4 linked regions of the Arabidopsis thaliana genome follow. The protein of the gene in region 1 interacts with the protein of each later gene in a pairwise test. Each region holds a gene or a part of one and is shown in the gene's direction. Other genes may lie near its edges.

Region 1 (4,990 bases):
AATGACTCTTATGTCTTCTGTCACAGTGTGATTGTGTAATCTTGTGTGTTTATAATAGTAACATTGGAGATCCTCGAGTGTAAAATGTCTTGTACGGGGTTGTAAACTTATATAGTTATATTACAGTGAAAATAGATATTGTACAAGTTATAAAATCCTAACCACTTGGATAATCTACACATCCTTCGATTACTTTTACAATATAGCTGTATCAATTATCTTGCATTTGTGCAATTATTATATTGAATTTCAATTGAACCAATTATAAAATTTATTATGTAATTTAGTATTATATATTTTATCAATTATAAACAATTCATACTTTTTGCTATTATATATATAAAAAAATTTTAATTTTTAATTTTACTAATTGAAAAAGATTATATCTAACCACCTAACGACAACTCCTTTCTCGGATCAAGTTTTTTCTTGGTTCTTCTTTTCTCGGGGTACTTCCTCTCGGATTCTCTATGTCTCTTAACTCGGTCTAACCCGCTAAAGCTTAGCTCACATGCGGGTCATAAAATCCGATTACCTTTTGCGAAGTATGACCGAGAGTTGAAAGAAATTCGGATGTTCCTTAGAAACTCGGACCGTGAGTCCTTCTTTCTCGTTTAACTTGGAGTGTTCAATCGTCGGGTTGGAAGTGAATCGGATGATAATCACCTTCCTTCTCGTCTTTGTCCTCCGTTTTAAGTTTTTTTTCTTCCGTGAATTCTTTTTTTCTCTTCCTCTTTCGCGGGACTTAACATTTCGAGTTATCTCCGATCTAGGCTTCCCGATCTTTCACTTCAGCATACGCTATGATATCGTTTCTAAAGTCACTCATTCGTGCTCTGGACGGAGATGATGACGTCTTCGATTTTGCTTTTGTGGCCTCTTCGGTCACCGAGCTCCCTTATTTTGCTACGAGGACAAAGATTGGGAAGAAGAGAATTGAGGAAGTGATAGATTCAGATCTTCAGGGACTCGCCAAATACGAGGAGAGAGCGATTAAAGCTATCAAGCCGAGAGTGAAAGTTACCATTGAGAAAGACATCACTTTGCTACAGAGGGTAAGTGAATCTTTCTTACATCCACAAGACATGGTTCTATGTGTGTTGTTTCATCTTTCTCTAGACTTTTGTTGCTATTTCGGTTTACAAACTTTTGATTGTGGTTTGATCTTTCTCTAAACATTTTTTGCTGTATTTGGTTAAAGACTTTTGAGAATCTTCAAACAGGGCTTAGGACTTCTTAATTGTGCCTGAATTCTCAGACAAAGAATCCGTGTCTGGTTTGTACAGTTTCAGAGATTTGTTACAAAAACTGATGAATGAGTTGAAGAGGAGAAGAGTTAAGGAGTCTAGTCTAAATAAGTTTTCAAGTTTATTGTAATAGTAAAACCTCTATAAATTAATACTCGATAAATTAATAATCTATATAAGATTAATAATTTTTTCCAGTCCCGAGTTGGGACTGTAAAAAGTGACACAAATTGATAAATTAATAAAATAATAATTTTTTTGAAAATCCTATGTAAATATATGATCCCATCAATATTATAAATTAGTAATTGTATAAATATAAAATATATATATATCTAATATATTATATGTAAGAAATTTCTAATATTTTTTTGCTTAAACTCGTATTTGTTCTTATTTGAATTTAGTTATAATATTTTACTGTATCAAAACTTTTGATATTGTTTTATAGACATGATAATTATTTTTTACTTGCAATTGGTTTTAGAAAGATATTCTCTATGATGAAAAATATCTTGTAGAAACTTTTAAAAAGTTACTACATTAGAAAACTCTCTATGTAAATTAATAAATTATTTATTAATTTATTCCTTAATTTGTAGATTTCTGTTTGGAAAGAAATTGCTAAAAATTAATATAAAAGCCCAATGGGCCGTGTAATAAGTAGACCCAAAGTTATTCGGTACAGTAGTGACGACCGGTTAATCTTCGCCCGCGCTATCGTCATTGCAAAAATCTCGAACCAGATTCGGACATCTCGTCGAAAATGGCGTGCTCAATTGGTAACGCTTTCAGGTGTTCTTCTGATACGCTGCGTTTTGCTCCCCGACAACAATGCAGCAGCCGCCTAAACCCTAATCCTTCCTCTTTCCTCTCCTTTAATTCCTCCCCAATTCTCGCACAGGTATCGAGTATATATATATATTTATTCTAATGTCCAAAGCACACTTTTCCAGTAACGCCTTTTGCATATTCAAACTGAATTTTGATTTTCGAATTTCTGGATTATTTTAAAGAATTTGGGTGCTTCTTCTTCGTCACTTTCCCGACGGACTATACGAGCTAGAACAAAAATGGCTGCGTCGGAGGCTTCCATTAACGGGAGCAACAGGATGCTGGTAATAAAACTCTAGGATTTCAATTTTCAGATTTTTTTTGAGTTTGATTTGAAAGTGAAAGATGTGAATTTGATTCTGGTGTTTCAGGTCTTTGTGCCACCACATCCTTTGATCAAACACTGGATCTCTGTTCTGAGAAATGAACAAACTCCTTGTCCTGTTTTCAGTGAGTAGATAAGATTCTTATGAGTATTTCTGCGATTTAACCAGTGTTTGTTGTTAAAGAACTGAATTTTACATCCATTTTTTTTTTTTTTTTTTTTGATTCGTTGGACAATCTTTAGCTCTTAGATTGGTGTTATCTGCTACATTGCGTTTGAATATGAGTTTTTTTAGGTTTGCTACTAGTATAAGTCTGTGTTGATCTTTAAAGCTTGAGTTTTTTTAATTATCTAGGGAATGCAATAGCTGAACTAGGGAGATTACTCATGTATGAAGCATCACGAGAGTGGCTGGTGCGTAGAATTTCACATCTCTATTATTCTTGAATTCTTCCTACCCGTTTTTTGCTTATTGTTTTTTGTTTTTTGCTCTATGCGGTTAAGCCAACTGTTGTGGGTGAAATAATGTCTCCAATGGGTCCTGCTTCTGTTGAATTCATTGATCCTAGAGAGCCTATTGCGGTTTGTTTATCCCTCAAACTCTTCCTGTCTATATTTTCTTTTCGACCTTACATGTAAGCGTTTCTAATTCTTGGTTTTGTCTCTGTGTAGGTTGTTCCGATATTAAGAGCTGGTCTTGCTCTTGCGGAACACGCATCCTCAGTTTTACCTGCTAATAAAATTTATCATTTAGGTTAGTAATCTAGCTATATATCATCTCTTGCCTGAACTTCGGATGTCAAAAATGAAAACTTTTATCAAATAGCTTATTGATGTCCCCGTGCTTCTTTTCTTTTACAGGAGTAAGTAGAGATGAGAAAACACTTTTACCATCGGTGTATCTTAACAAGTAAGAACTTCTCTGCAGCATTGTGTTTGTAGTTACTGAAGTGTTTATAATAACACCTTTGATACATCTTCTTTAGGTTGCCTGATGAATTTCCCAAGAATTCAAGAGTATTTTTGGTCGACCCAGTGCTTGCCACAGGTAAGAAAGTCTTATCATTTTAGCCACCTCCATATTAGAAGTATAGTTAGGGTTTGATGTTCAAATGTACACGATAATATGTGAATGTGAACGCATGACATGGTAATACGAATGTTTCATAGCTAGAAGCGTAGGTTTAGTAACTTAGTAACTTGTATTTTAGGTGGTACCATAATGGCGGCGATGGATCTATTGAAGGAACGTGGTTTGTCTGTTCAGCAAATCAAAGTGGTAAGCATATATATAGGAAACAGCTTTTGTCAGAAATCGAAGTGTTAATTGTTTTGATTTTTCTGATTACAGATTTGTGCGATTGCTGCACCTCCTGCACTATCGAAGCTTAACGAGAAATTCCCCGGGTAATCAATAGCAAAAGATCAACTCTCACCTTGCTTACCATTTAGTTAACTCTCTTTTTACTAAACTGTTTGGCTACTATTTGAAACATTTCAGGCTTCATGTATATGCTGGAATTATTGATCCTGAAGTCAATGAAAAGGGGTAAGTCATTAGGTTCTTTGGCTTTCCATATGAAAACTGGCGATTGTATTTTAATGTCCTTATGTATTTGTCATGAACTAGGTACATAATCCCTGGGCTTGGAGACGCTGGAGACCGCAGTTTCGGGACAGAAACACATTGGGTGAAGTGATACTTGTATGAGTTGTTAAACTTTAACAGTCACAATCGTTAGATTATATATTGTGTCTCTTGTACTTTGTTTTTGATGTGTGATTTCAGGTTCTTGAGAGGGTTTCGATAAAGAGTCAAAATTTCACAAACAAGAAAAACTGAATTCCTCATTATTACAAAACAGAGAACAAACTTGTCAACCATTTTATGTGTATCATTCTCAATTGTCTACCACAAACCATTTTGGGAAAAAGTATGCAAGAAAATCTGAAAAATTCATCCATGAAGCAAACATTTGAACCAATAATAAAAGTTTGTTATCAAATTGAATGAACTTAAGTTACTACCAAACTGAACCAGTATTTATGGTTTGGTTACGTTCGATTCCGGTTACAATTAACTGTCGGTACAATTCTGGTTGAAAAAGTTTAGTATTTCGGTTTGATTTAATTTTGTATACCGCTCTAATTGGATCGGTTTTTATTGCTCTTCAATTAAAAGTTGAAGGGTATAGTAGTCATTCCTATGAAATAAGCAAACCCTAGCTCGCTACTATAAATCTAATAAACCTATGAATTAAGCAAACCCTATCTTTGTCGCCGCCAAACCTCTCTCAGATTCTTCTTCTTCCTCGCAGGTGAGAATTTCTCCGTAGTATCTTAATCTCCTTTCACTGTATTGCTAATTAACGCATCGGAATAATCTAGGTTTCGATTTCAGAATTAGTTATCTCGTTGTGTCTTTTGTTGATTATATATTATTGTTGAATGTGATCAATTATTCTTGATGAATCTCTTAATTCGAGGTTCTATTGCTCATCTGATTAGTTTTTTTGTTTGTTTACTTGCTCAGATCGATTTTTTTTTGAAGCTAAATCTCAAAAATGGAGAACGACGCAGGTCA
Region 2 (4,540 bases), on another chromosome or scaffold:
ATTTGGCTAAGTGATCGTAAAAACGTGAAATGCTTGACGCATTTCATTGGAAAAATTTGTTGCCTTTCTCATGCTGCAGTTGAGATTTAAGCTGTTTTTATGAACTCTTGTTTAGTGGTTGATGATTGAATGTTGTTCTTAGTGATGGAATTAGTAACTAGATAATGCCAAATTGTTTGGAAGTTAGATATATGTAATAAGGAAGCAATTTACATGACTTTAAGAGACCTGATTCTTTAAGAGGAAAGCTAAGAATTTGAACTGAATTTTGGCAAATTGGTCATCATAGCATTGTTGTAGATGTATATCATAAAGTATTTGCATTTTTCCGTTCTTTCTTTTACTTTTTCTCTAAATTTGTGACAATGGTTTGCATGAGGATATGTTGTGCAGCCAGATAAATTGCCAAACTACGTAGTCCCTGATTTGACTGGCTTTAAGGTTTTTATTCTACCCTAAACTCTTCTGTTACTTTTCTTTGATTCCTCGATATTGAACATGAGAACAAAACAATAGTGAATTCCTTCGGATATCTTTTTACAAGTCGTAAACTTGTAATGGTTTGAAGCTCCTTAGGTTTGTGATCCTGATGATCTTATTCGTTTTAGGTTGTGTTAGGAACCTGAAATGGAATGCTTACTTCTTGCATTAACCTTGTTGTGTTTTGCATGCCACCCTAAATTCTTCTGTTCCTTTCCTTTGATTCCTCTATATAGATAGCCGAGTATGTAACTTGCATCCTAATTGAACATTAGAACAAATTCCCTTTTTAAACCGTTTACATGTCTTACTATTCAAAGCTCCTTAAGCATGTGTGATCCTGACGATTTTTTTTCCGGTCTTAAGTTTTGTGTTAGGAACCTGAAATAGAATGCTAGCTTAATGTATAACGCAAGCTTTGTTGTGTGATCTAGCTTTGCTGATGGAACATTTGTATTTTATAGCTGAAACCATATGTATCTCAGTGCCCTTTAGACGTCAACAAAACAAACGAGTCAACTGAAGCTTCCAAGTGACGAAGTTAGAAGAAACATGTTTTTAACTTTGAAGTCTTCATTAGCTTAAAGTTAAGGACTGTGTTATTCTATCATCCTTAGATATCTTTTGTTACTCAACAACTCCTAGCAAGTTATTTCGAGATTGAGTTAATAAAATAAAAACTTTGAATTGAATCCAATGAATCTTAGATTTCAATATTTCTCCACTTCTCAATTCCCTGTTTGGTAACTGCTACTGAATGTGTGTACCGTTTCTATTGTAACCAACAGGTAAAACGGTAAATTAAAGCGGGACAATGAATAAAAATCCTCAAAAACCCCAAAAAATACTCATACTAATTTTTATTTGCAAGTTTAATACCCAATATTTTTGGATTGGAATCAAAAATACTTCATCTAATATTTATGGTCATAAAATACCTCATATATTTATTATTGGTAGAATGAAACCCGCACAAAATTCATGTTTTTTTTCTCCCGTTTCTCTAATTCTAGCCGACGTAGATGATACTCCCCGCAAGTAACATGTGCCTTATAATGTGATCGCGTTAGTTCCCAGCTTTGTCTAGCCACCAAGAATCATCGTCTATGCCGCCTGCCGTCATAGCTCTAGGGAGGAGCTGAGAGTGAGAAGGACAAGGGAAAAAATGAGAATCTCTGAAGTTGGATTGGGTGTTTTACTGGGATTAGTGGCATTCGATAAGTTAGTAACACCGAATTGTATATATAGATTAAAAAGTATGAGATTCAAATTTAACCCCGTTAAATAGTTCCGTTAACGTCCGTTAAGCCGTAGGTTAATTCTAACAATAATTAATATATGAGGTATTTTATGACAGTAAATAATTAGATAATTTATTTTTATACCAATTCAAAAATATTGGGTATTAAACTTGCAAATAAAAATTAGTATGAGTTTTTTTTGGGATTTTTAACCACAAAAAAAATCTTTGACCTTTTAAAAAACTCTTATTGAAAAAAAAAAAAGGAGTTATATGATGAAACCAAATGGACCCATATGATTGGGAGATTTGGATAACAGAGAATCCACAAAAGTGTATCCTTCACAAAACCAAAACACACTCTCCATTTTCTTCAGACAACTCTTTCTCCTTTCTTCTCTCTTCTCTGTCTCATCACAAACCAGAAATGGGAGGAGTGTCCTTCCTCTCCACTGTTCCTTCCTTCACCAACACAACCAATCATCAACATCTCACTACACTCTCTTCTTCTTCTCATCGCTCTGTGAGTTTCAACCATTGTTACATTCTTTACTTCTAACCCATTTTACATTTCTTCTGCTAACAATTCTTCTTCTGATCAGGCTGTTATACGATGTTCCAAGATTGAACCTCAAGTTTCCGGTGAAAGTTTAGCTTTCCACCGCCGTGATGTTCTCAAACTCGCCGGCACTGCAGTCGGAATGGTACCTTAACACTTGACTCGATCAAAAATTACATACACATTGGTACAAATGAGATATTGTAATGTATAGTCTGTGGCTACATCTTCTTGAAGTTGTCCTCTCTATGTCACATTTGATGAGTTCTTGGCAGTGATGATCTCTCTTGTTAGGAATTAATAGGCAACGGTTTCATTAACAATGTGGGTGATGCAAAAGCTGCTGACTTGAATCAACGTAGACAACGATCCGAGTTTCAATGTGAGTATCTGAAACAAGAACACTAGTGTGGTACCATTAGGTTGTTATTGGCACTAAAGGTTTCACTTTTATATTATGCAGCAAAGATCAAGATTTTGCTTTCAACCACCATTAAGGCTAAACCGGAGCTTGTACCTTCCTTACTCAAACTAGCTCTCAATGATGCTATGACTTATGATAAGGTCAGGCTTCATATAATGCTCTTGTCCATCTCTCTGGTGACCCTTTAATGATACTAGCTTTTTGTCTAGGCTACTAAATCCGGGGGAGCCAATGGATCCATACGGTTCAGGTAGTTATATGATGTAAGAACATTATAAGAGTAATCTTTAGATGATGTCTAATGCATTCTTTTCTTTTTGTGAAGCTCTGAGCTAAGTAGAGCAGAGAATGAGGGACTTTCTGATGGGTTGAGTTTGATAGAGGAAGTGAAGAAGGAGATTGACTCTATCTCGAAGGGAGGTCCTATTTCATATGCAGATATCATTCAATTAGCAGGTAATGTTATAGTATATACCAAAACTTGTTCATGAAGAGTAGCATTATTGTATTTGTGGATAACTGAAATCTTTCTTGGGTTGGTTTCTGTAGGACAATCAGCGGTCAAGTTTACATATTTAGCATCGGCTATCCGAAAATGTGGTGGAAATGAAGAGAAGGGGAACTTACTTTACACAGCATATGGTTCAGCTGGTCAGGTAAACAATGCTATCGTATTCGCTTTTGAGTCGCGGCGTTTTGTTCAAATCGATACTGAACCGTTGTGAATCTGTTAGTGGGGATTGTTTGATAGAAATTTTGGAAGGAGTGATGCAACAGAGGCTGATCCAGAAGGCAGAGTCCCACAATGGGGGAAAGCAACTGTGCAAGAGATGAAAGATAAGTTCATTGCTGTTGGATTGGGTCCTCGTCAGGTACATGATTTTCGGTTTAAACAGAGAATTATCTACTAGGATCACTCGAAGTAACTAACCTGTATGAGGAATTTGTAGCTAGCTGTAATGTCTGCATTCTTGGGTCCTGATCAAGCTGCAACAGAACAGCTCTTAGCTACTGACCCTCAAGTTGCTCCATGGGTTCAGAAGTATCAAAGAAGCCGTGAAACCGTATCTCAGACTGATTACGAGGTTCGTTTTCACTCGATTTGCCTTAATCATATATTCATCTACCTCAAACTCAAGCTCATGTTTTGGTTTATGAATATGTTTGTAGGTTGATCTCATAACTGCATTCACAAAGCTAAGTTGCTTAGGACAGCAAATCAACTTCGAGGCATATACATATCCCGTCGAACGGATCAATCTGAGCAAACTCAAGCTATAAGCTATGTACACTATATGTATAACATGAGAGGAAACTTCGAAATAAACCAAAGATTTTTCTTGACATTGAAACAAAAAGAGAAGTTGAATCCATTACAAACAAAGACACAGAAGATAGGAGTCAAATCACGATAAAATGGAAACAGATAAACGAAAAATAATAGGAATCGAGTTTTCGTATCCACGGTTGAGAAAAGCAGCAAAAAAGGACAAGAATTAGACTGCCTTAGAGAGCTTGGGGATAAAAGGAAATAAGAAACCAACAGAGAAACACCTCCAAGAGAAAAACATATTAATGGAGAGGTTTTAGATACTGAAATGACAACAAAGTTGCGGTAAGACGACTTAGGATTGTTGCTCGTCAGCGGGTTTTGCTGCTGCTGGTGCTGCTTCTTTGATGTCATCAGCAACATCGTCCTGATTGAAAAAAACATTTGACAAGATCATCATAATCAGAATCAGACCACAAGAAAGAAGGATTGAGGAATGTATCAAAATGTAAACTAAGCAACAACTTGATTTCCAAATCTAGTCTCCCTCAATGGCATATATCTTGC
Region 3 (3,820 bases), on another chromosome or scaffold:
TCTCTCTCGTCTTCTTCGTTGCTTTTTAAGTGAACAGAGAGAGCCGTTGTATATATGAGTCGTTCTTAGGCCAGACCAACGAATCACACCAAAGATTAGGGTGAATCCAACAAGCAGATGCAACAACACATGAATAATGAAATCTCAAAAAGGAAGAAGAAGAGAACAGAGAGGCAAACGAAGCAGACAGAAATCGAAGAAGAGAATTGAAAAAAATGCAGAGCAATTGTGTTTTTAACTTGAGAGGAGACGCGAGACGCAGGTATATAAATTTATTTGTTTGACATTCAAGTTTCCTTTTTTCCTTTTCACTTAGGGTTTGTTATAGTCCAGAGCAAACACAAACCTTAGGTTCGGTGATAATCTAGCCGTTATACACGGTTCGGGTCAAATACTTTCCATTTATTAGCTGATACGCTCCTACTAATTTTTGGTTTAGATACTGATTGTATTTTGATTGTATTACACGTTGACTTTTATTGTTTTAAAGAACAAGGCTAAGAAGAACAGATAATAAGAAAGTGGGTTCTATCCTTAAAAACCAACAAGAACCCTATCTTAAAAACCTAAGGAGTGTGGTTTCATTTATTTCTGGATTGAATCAGTTGAATAATGAAAACAATAATAGACATAAGCAGAGTGGATCCTGCAAAACATGGTAAACGAAACTTTTTTCTTCTCTTCTTTCTTGGTTTATCTTCGATTTCTTCTTCTTTTTTCCCCTCATGATCTCTTGTTCCTTCCTCAACAACCTCTTCTTCCTCTTCTCTCTGTGGCTCTTCTGCTTCTTCGTTTTCTTCCTCAGGTTTTGTCTCTTCTTTGATTTCTTCTTCTGGTTCTGTTTTCTCCTCTGTTTTCTCTTCTACTATCGGCTCTTTCATCTCCTCTTCTTCGTCCTCTTCCTCGATCTTCAGACCGGTAATTCCCTTAACTTTCTTAGGCATTGTAACAGTTAAAGTCCCATCTTCTTCATTAAACCTCGCTTTGATCTTGTCAAGAATTACAATATCTGGAATCCGAAACACTTTTTTGAATTCCTTTATTTCTGTTTCCTTTTTCCATTCCACCCACTTTACCAAAACCATCTCTTCAACCTGTTTTCTTCCGCTGATCTTAATCAGATTCCCTTCTTTGTTTATCTCGATATCGATACCATCCTTCTTAAATCCTGCATTTGGTTTTCAATCTCAATCTCTATGCTAGGTAAGAAAAAAAGGTGAATAAATATGAGAGGGAATAGAACCTTTGAGATGAAGAATGAGGAAGAAAACAGAGTTGGTTTCTCGAGAAAGTGAACGATGACCAAAAGAATCTCTGGCAACCCGAAAATCTGTAGAGGAAGAAACATCGTCTTTAGTCCGAGTGATCTTCAGACCTAATTCAAGCTCCATCTTTTTTAGTTGTGAGCTTCTTTTGATACATCTGTTTTTAGTTTTTGCTAAAGTCTCTCTCTAGTCCACACTTTTCTAGTTTTGTTTAAATTAGGCTATTTCATATCGTTTCTTTGAAGAGGCCCACAAGAACATATTCGTAACTTCCATCTTCAGGAAACTCAAAAACGGAGTCGTGAGTTTTGTCTTTTGTTACCCTCAACGGTTTTAACTGTCCCAGTTGCGTTGGCGGGAAGTAACAGCTATCTTTATAGTACTAGTTGATAATGATAACCCTTTGCGATTGCATTTACAATGAGATCTGTCATGTCATATGATTGAGCCTGAAGATTGTGAGCAAAAAGTTAAATTGAAGAGTGATCGGTGTTTGGGAACGGGCCTATAACATGTGGGCCTAGAACATGTTTGTGGGCCTATAACAAAAAAGATACGGTGTACTTGACCGTAGTGGATCATCATTGTCTTTCTAGTACCTTGTGTCATTTTCTTTCAGAGTTCGTTCTCTCTTTTTGGTCAATTCGAGTTTTTTTTCCACAAGTGTCCAACTTTTTTTGTCATCATCAACCTAACCAACCGCCAACGCCGAATCAAGAGATCGTTTGTTTTTTTCTGATTCTTTCATGGCGTCAATTTCTCTCTCTTCTTCTACGGTTCCGTCGCTGAATTCGAAAGAATCGTCAGGTGTTTCTGCTTTCGCTTCTCGTTCTATCTCGGCCGTCAAATTTCAGTTTCCGGTTCGTCGGGTTCGAACCGGAGACTTAAAGTTTCCATCTTTATCTTCAACGACTCGATGCACTCCTCGACGTGTAATCGCCTTTCTCTGCTTAAACATCTTTTTCCAAAGCTTATATTTTGTTCAATTCTAGCTTACTTAATTTTACCCTATGAATTATTGAATTCAAGCTTCAAACTTTCTTCTGATGGTAGAGCTGATGATAGCTTTCCTATTTTGAAATTTTTCTTATTTTAGTTTCTATAGCTGATTTTCTCTAGAGTTTGGAATTGATTTAAAGTGAGTGCCTTTATCTACTTCTTGATTTAGATTGAACTAAATGACAAACCATTCTTGTTCATACTTCAGATTGAAGCCAAGAAGCAGACATTTGACTCATTTGAGGATCTGCTTGTGAACTCTGATAAACCAGTTCTAGTTGACTATTATGCAACCTGGTGAGTTTGTTTTGGTGTCAAATGATAACATGTGTTAGTTGAGTGGTCATCAACCAGTTCTAGTTGACTATTATTCATCATGAATGAGTATACTTGGTCTATGTTGGGATCCAGTGTAGTCTGTTTGCTTATTATCGAGTTTATTTGTTAAACAGATGATTTGGAATCAGAATGTACTGTTTGTTTGGCAGGTGTGGTCCTTGCCAGTTCATGGTTCCAATACTCAATGAAGTGAGTGAAACCCTGAAAGACAAGATACAGGTGGTGAAGATTGATACCGAAAAATACCCCAGTATTGCTAATAAATACAAGATTGAGGCACTTCCTACTTTCATCCTATTCAAAGATGGGGAACCTTGTGATCGCTTTGTATGATGACTTCAATGCCTTTGAATTTCTTCATTTTCGTTTTAAGGTTCTTAATCTCACTCACAAACGTTTCTTTTTTTGTGATTTCCAGGAGGGTGCTTTGACGGCCAAACAACTCATTCAACGAATTGAGGATTCTCTAAAAGTGAAGCCATAGTTGGATCATGAACTCTTTTTTAATTATTTGTATGTTTTTCAACTGTCCCTGACCTATTCAGGACTTAGTGATAGCGATGTTTTTCGGTTGATTTAACTTGGAGAATTTGAGAAGAAGAAGATTATGTTTGCCAGATTTGTAAAACCTTGTTGTGAGTAATGATGATCTTTTATTCTCAAAAGTAATAACAGAGACGCTATTTTTCAAGCATTCGTCACCAGTTACATAAAGATTAAAATTCTCTTAGCAAAAGAAAACATAGCAGGAGTGTAAAGATGAATACTAAGACTCAAGGGTTAGAAGGAGAAGCAGAAGATCTAACAACGGTAGTCTTGAAATTCACGGAGAGAGGCAGTGTTGAGGAGGCAAGAGCATGGTCTTCACCATTGTTGTCAGAGTCATTGCCATCACAGTAACCTTGGAGCATATCACCTTCTTGAGCAGTAAAACCAAGAACACCAATCATAGTAGGCCAACACTTGCGTCCAATGGTTCTTATAGCACTGCAACACCCAGGGCCAATGTAAGTCTCACCGTTGAGGAAGAACAAGATCAGCTCTCCAGAACAGTGTTGGAGCTGCATCAGTGAGTCCCAGCAGTACCCTGTATCTTCATCAAGCTTGAGCCTGTACACAAGGCTTGTGGTAGGAGAAGACGTCCCCATGGATGGTTTCATGAGAGGGCGAGCTGTCACTGTGGAGGAAGCCACCATGAGCATGAGAGTCACAATGTT
Region 4 (4,028 bases), on another chromosome or scaffold:
AAGGATATAGGACCGGTTAACTTCGGTTATCACTGGTTTGGTTGAATGTGGTTTACTAACCACAATAATCTTATGTCTATAAGTTTAATCTCGATTACTTTGTTAGTTAAGTTGGTTGTAACAACACTTTAAGCTGAATAAGAAAAGTTGTTATCTTCTTCTTCGTCTCTCTTCTCCAATCTTGAATCTCCGATGTATCGGACGTTATCAAGGAATACATTTGCACGAGATCCATGTTCAAACAAACATGAAATTTAGCGTATTAAAGGACCAAATGTTTTTCTTAAAAAAACATTTCTATGTAATTAGGATCCATATTTCAAATTTGAACAAAGACCATTGTGTCTTTTTGCTATTTTTGAGTCGGTCCTGCCTACATTGATTCAAAATCTCTTTTATGTTCGTATACTTCGTCAAAATCTCTGCATAGTCACATTCGTCTGCTGAAGAGTACCAACTCCCAAATATTTTCTTGTATGCTCTTCCATTAACATCTTTTCTAAGCTAATGAAAACTAGATATTTGCCTTAGGTCCAAAACTAAATCTATCTTCTTTCCTCATAGTTTTCTCAATTTCCGGCAACTCACATTATCTCAATTCTAACTAGAGTGTCAAAGAGTTTTTGAGATGAAATACCTCTAAAAGCCAGTTAGACAAAGATAAGTTACTAAACTTGTAGATTCAGCCTTGTAACTACTAGCTTAGAAAAACCTTATGGATTTAGAACATGGTTCAAGAATTTTCCATATGGTTTCAATTGTGGTTTACGGGATGATTAGTTGAGATTGTAGCGGTAAATTGTGGCTTAAAATATTGATGTTATATATATATTGTTTTTAACATAGGTTATGAGTTAAAATAATAATAATAACTAAAGCTACAGATTATTGACTCTTAAAAAAACGAAATAGAGGAATACATTATATAGATGGTCTAAGTTTGACTCGTTTTAACCGTTAGCTACTTAATTATTAGGTGAAAATTCAAAATATTCAAGTGTACAAAGTACTTGTTTTAGATTAGAAATTTTTTTTTTTTTTTTTTGTAAATTAGATTGGATACTTTGGATTAACTATTCTTTTTTTGGATTCTATATTCAAACGTATCAATATCAGTCATATCTTATTATAGAAATAGGGTAAAAGAGTTGTCGAGAGTGGAGACGTCGGGGCAAGGGAAAATGACGTGCTCCCCACCACCCCAATGCTCACGCGCACTATGCCCCACTTAACCCTAATTTCCAATGCTAATCTATCAATTACATTTCATTTATTTCTTCATTTATTTAAAGATAACTACACTTATTGTATGTATAAACTGCAAAACATATGATACTAATATTTACTACTCTAGTGAAAGAAGAAAATGATCTGGCTAGTTCCCCATGCCACAACATTCCAACACAATACATTTATCTCTTTTGGTCTTGGGGTTTTACAAATTGTATCAGAGTAAACAAGAATATGTTTTCTAAAATAGTTTTCCCCATAAACCGATCTTTCCTAAAATATTACACCATGTGAAACCCAAGACTTGTCTAGGCAACCTCAGTAATATGAGTGTATAATTAAAGTTCTGGCAGAAAATTATAAGATGAATTCATTAAATACGTTATGGAGCTTAGGACTTTGGCATAATCGGTATTCAATCCCACTGTTATTTAAAATAGACTCATATAAAAATTGTCCAGTATATTTTATATATTAATAAAAAGAGAGTACACACATAGTATTGCGTTCTTGGATTCTATATAAACCCTATATAAATAATACTAACTTGTGAAAAATTAATTATTGCCCACTTTCTCTCTCTCTCTCTCTCTGATTGATTCTTGAAAAGAAAATCAAAGTCTCAATAGCTTTGTTTTGATTCTAGTTCCATTCCACAATTGCATCTAATTCTCCTACCGTAGCCTTTTCTTCTTTATTTGTCATCAACAACTCCTAAAATTCATATGAAATTAGAGAAATCGAAACGAAAAGATAATATTTTTCAAGAAAGAGCTACATATACACCTTTTGACCTTGTAAAGTTGGAACCCTAGAGGCCTTTCAAGCAAATCATCAGGGTAACAATTTCTTGATCTTTCTTTTTAGCGAATTTCCAGTTTTTGGTCAATCATGGCAAACCCTTGGTGGACGAACCAGAGTGGTTTAGCGGGCATGGTGGACCATTCGGTCTCCTCAGGCCATCACCAAAACCATCACCACCAAAGTCTTCTTACCAAAGGAGATCTTGGAATAGCCATGAATCAGAGCCAAGACAACGACCAAGACGAAGAAGATGATCCTAGAGAAGGAGCCGTTGAGGTGGTCAACCGTAGACCAAGAGGTAGACCACCAGGATCCAAAAACAAACCCAAAGCTCCAATCTTTGTGACAAGAGACAGCCCCAACGCACTCCGTAGCCATGTCTTGGAGATCTCCGACGGCAGTGACGTCGCCGACACAATCGCTCACTTCTCAAGACGCAGGCAACGCGGCGTTTGCGTTCTCAGCGGGACAGGCTCAGTCGCTAACGTCACCCTCCGCCAAGCCGCCGCACCAGGAGGTGTGGTCTCTCTCCAAGGCAGGTTTGAAATCTTATCTTTAACCGGTGCTTTCCTCCCTGGACCTTCCCCACCCGGGTCAACCGGTTTAACGGTTTACTTAGCCGGGGTCCAGGGTCAGGTCGTTGGAGGTAGCGTTGTAGGCCCACTCTTAGCCATAGGGTCGGTCATGGTGATTGCTGCTACTTTCTCTAACGCTACTTATGAGAGATTGCCCATGGAAGAAGAGGAAGACGGTGGCGGCTCAAGACAGATTCACGGAGGCGGTGACTCACCGCCCAGAATCGGTAGTAACCTGCCTGATCTATCAGGGATGGCCGGGCCAGGCTACAATATGCCGCCGCATCTGATTCCAAATGGGGCTGGTCAGCTAGGGCACGAACCATATACATGGGTCCACGCAAGACCACCTTACTGACTCAGTGAGCCATTTCTATATATAATGGTCTATATAAATAAATATATAGATGAATATAAGCAAGCAATTTGAGGTAGTCTATTACAAAGCTTTTGCTCTGGTTGGAAAAATAAATAAGTATCAAAGCTTTGTTTGTTCTTAATGGAAATATAGAGCTTGGGAAGGTAGAAAGAGACGACATTAAGGGACTTTCAGATTTTCAGTATTACTACTCCACGAAATTATTGAAATAAATAAACATTGTACTGTAAATTAGAATGTTTGTCTTTTTGTTTTTGTGTAGTAGTATTTAACTACAATATTTGTATGTGTTTGCCTTTGTGATCTTTAGATACTTTACATTTTGGTTGGCTCAAAAACCATGGGTTTATTATATATATTTAATGCTGGTTCAACGATGAAGGAACGTTGAGAGCATATATTGCCTATTTGTGCGTTTCGATATTATATTTCTAATTCATGATCATTTTTATTTAAGGTTTTTACCATAGGTCCATAGTGGTGGTTCTTTAATCTTCGCGTCATGATGCTATTGGAATTTTTTAATATGACTATGTAAACAAAAGAATGAGAGATTGTTGACTAGCTAAAAGCATATACGTACTCTCTATGTGTATTAATTGATGTTATTTAATGGTACATGACACGAAAGAAGCTTTAAAACAAAATTATGACTGAACAAAAAAAACGGTTGATGTTGTTGGCGAGAACGACTTAAGGAAGTTTACAAACCTATACTATGAAGTTTTAAGTCGTTGTAAGTCTTAACTAAAAAATACTATTACCAAACGATCATTTATTGATGTTAATGCACTTTTGTAATTTTTAGTGTTTTTTTTTTCCAAATAGAACTTGATATATTCCCTCTAATTTGATATATAAGATTTATGAGTTAAGAGCATGCATATTCAGAAAAATATATTTTAAAAATATCATTAAATATTTGGTTTACAAAAATTAGGCAAAATCATAGAAGATAGTTTCTAAATGACAATTCACAAGGAAAAATCAAGAAATAAATCATAATTCAATACCTTTTTTTTTACCTCATTTGTTTTGGA

What was found.
Region 2: the proteins of UPP (region 1) and TL29 interact in a two-hybrid assay, tested with the Arabidopsis thaliana proteins (one large-scale study listed by BioGRID).
Region 3: the proteins of UPP (region 1) and TY1 interact in a two-hybrid assay, tested with the Arabidopsis thaliana proteins (one large-scale study listed by BioGRID).
Region 4: the proteins of UPP (region 1) and AHL20 interact in a two-hybrid assay, tested with the Arabidopsis thaliana proteins (one large-scale study listed by BioGRID).

What each region holds. Positions count from the first base shown.
Region 1 is NC_003074.8:19,956,030-19,961,019, reverse strand, and holds UPP (uracil phosphoribosyltransferase), read left to right. Parts: upstream 1-1,944; 5' UTR 1,945-2,013; coding exon 2,014-2,151; intron 2,152-2,170; exon of another isoform or gene 2,171-2,263; coding exon 2,264-2,365; intron 2,366-2,452; coding exon 2,453-2,531; intron 2,532-2,761; coding exon 2,762-2,820; intron 2,821-2,910; coding exon 2,911-2,988; intron 2,989-3,078; coding exon 3,079-3,160; intron 3,161-3,267; coding exon 3,268-3,316; intron 3,317-3,392; coding exon 3,393-3,454; intron 3,455-3,617; coding exon 3,618-3,685; intron 3,686-3,757; coding exon 3,758-3,813; intron 3,814-3,907; coding exon 3,908-3,955; intron 3,956-4,036; coding exon 4,037-4,106; 3' UTR 4,107-4,430; downstream 4,431-4,990. Other genes in the region: AT3G53910 (malate dehydrogenase-like protein), read left to right, coding at 574-595, 796-1,055, 1,120-1,164; AT3G53890 (Ribosomal protein S21e), read left to right, coding at 4,971-4,990. UniProt on the Arabidopsis thaliana protein: Uracil phosphoribosyltransferase (UPRT) that catalyzes the conversion of uracil and 5-phospho-alpha-D-ribose 1-diphosphate (PRPP) to UMP and diphosphate.
Region 2 is NC_003075.7:5,776,946-5,781,485, reverse strand, and holds TL29 (ascorbate peroxidase 4), read left to right. Parts: upstream 1-1,913; 5' UTR 1,914-2,006; coding exon 2,007-2,243; exon of another isoform or gene 2,244-2,322; coding exon 2,323-2,424; exon of another isoform or gene 2,425-2,573; coding exon 2,574-2,661; intron 2,662-2,742; coding exon 2,743-2,843; intron 2,844-2,912; coding exon 2,913-2,953; intron 2,954-3,028; coding exon 3,029-3,159; intron 3,160-3,252; coding exon 3,253-3,359; intron 3,360-3,437; coding exon 3,438-3,575; intron 3,576-3,653; coding exon 3,654-3,788; intron 3,789-3,873; coding exon 3,874-3,984; downstream 3,985-4,540. Other genes in the region: AT4G09012 (Mitochondrial ribosomal protein L27), read left to right, coding at 394-401; GRF1 (general regulatory factor 1), read right to left, coding at 4,329-4,486.
Region 3 is NC_003070.9:28,811,140-28,814,959, reverse strand, and holds TY1 (thioredoxin Y1), read left to right. Parts: upstream 1-1,795; 5' UTR 1,796-2,011; coding exon 2,012-2,197; exon of another isoform or gene 2,198-2,472; coding exon 2,473-2,561; intron 2,562-2,752; coding exon 2,753-2,930; intron 2,931-3,021; coding exon 3,022-3,087; 3' UTR 3,088-3,275; downstream 3,276-3,820. Other genes in the region: AT1G76770 (HSP20-like chaperones superfamily protein), read right to left, coding at 582-1,168, 1,244-1,391; EC1.1 (egg cell-secreted-like protein (DUF1278)), read right to left, coding at 3,377-3,820. UniProt on the Arabidopsis thaliana protein: Thiol-disulfide oxidoreductase that poorly activates chloroplastic malate dehydrogenase (NADP-MDH) and fructose-1,6-bisphosphatase. Provides reducing equivalents for peroxiredoxin Q.
Region 4 is NC_003075.7:8,318,851-8,322,878, forward strand, and holds AHL20 (AT-hook motif nuclear-localized protein 20), read left to right. Parts: upstream 1-1,687; 5' UTR 1,688-2,121; coding exon 2,122-2,967; 3' UTR 2,968-3,502; downstream 3,503-4,028. UniProt on the Arabidopsis thaliana protein: Transcription factor that specifically binds AT-rich DNA sequences related to the nuclear matrix attachment regions (MARs).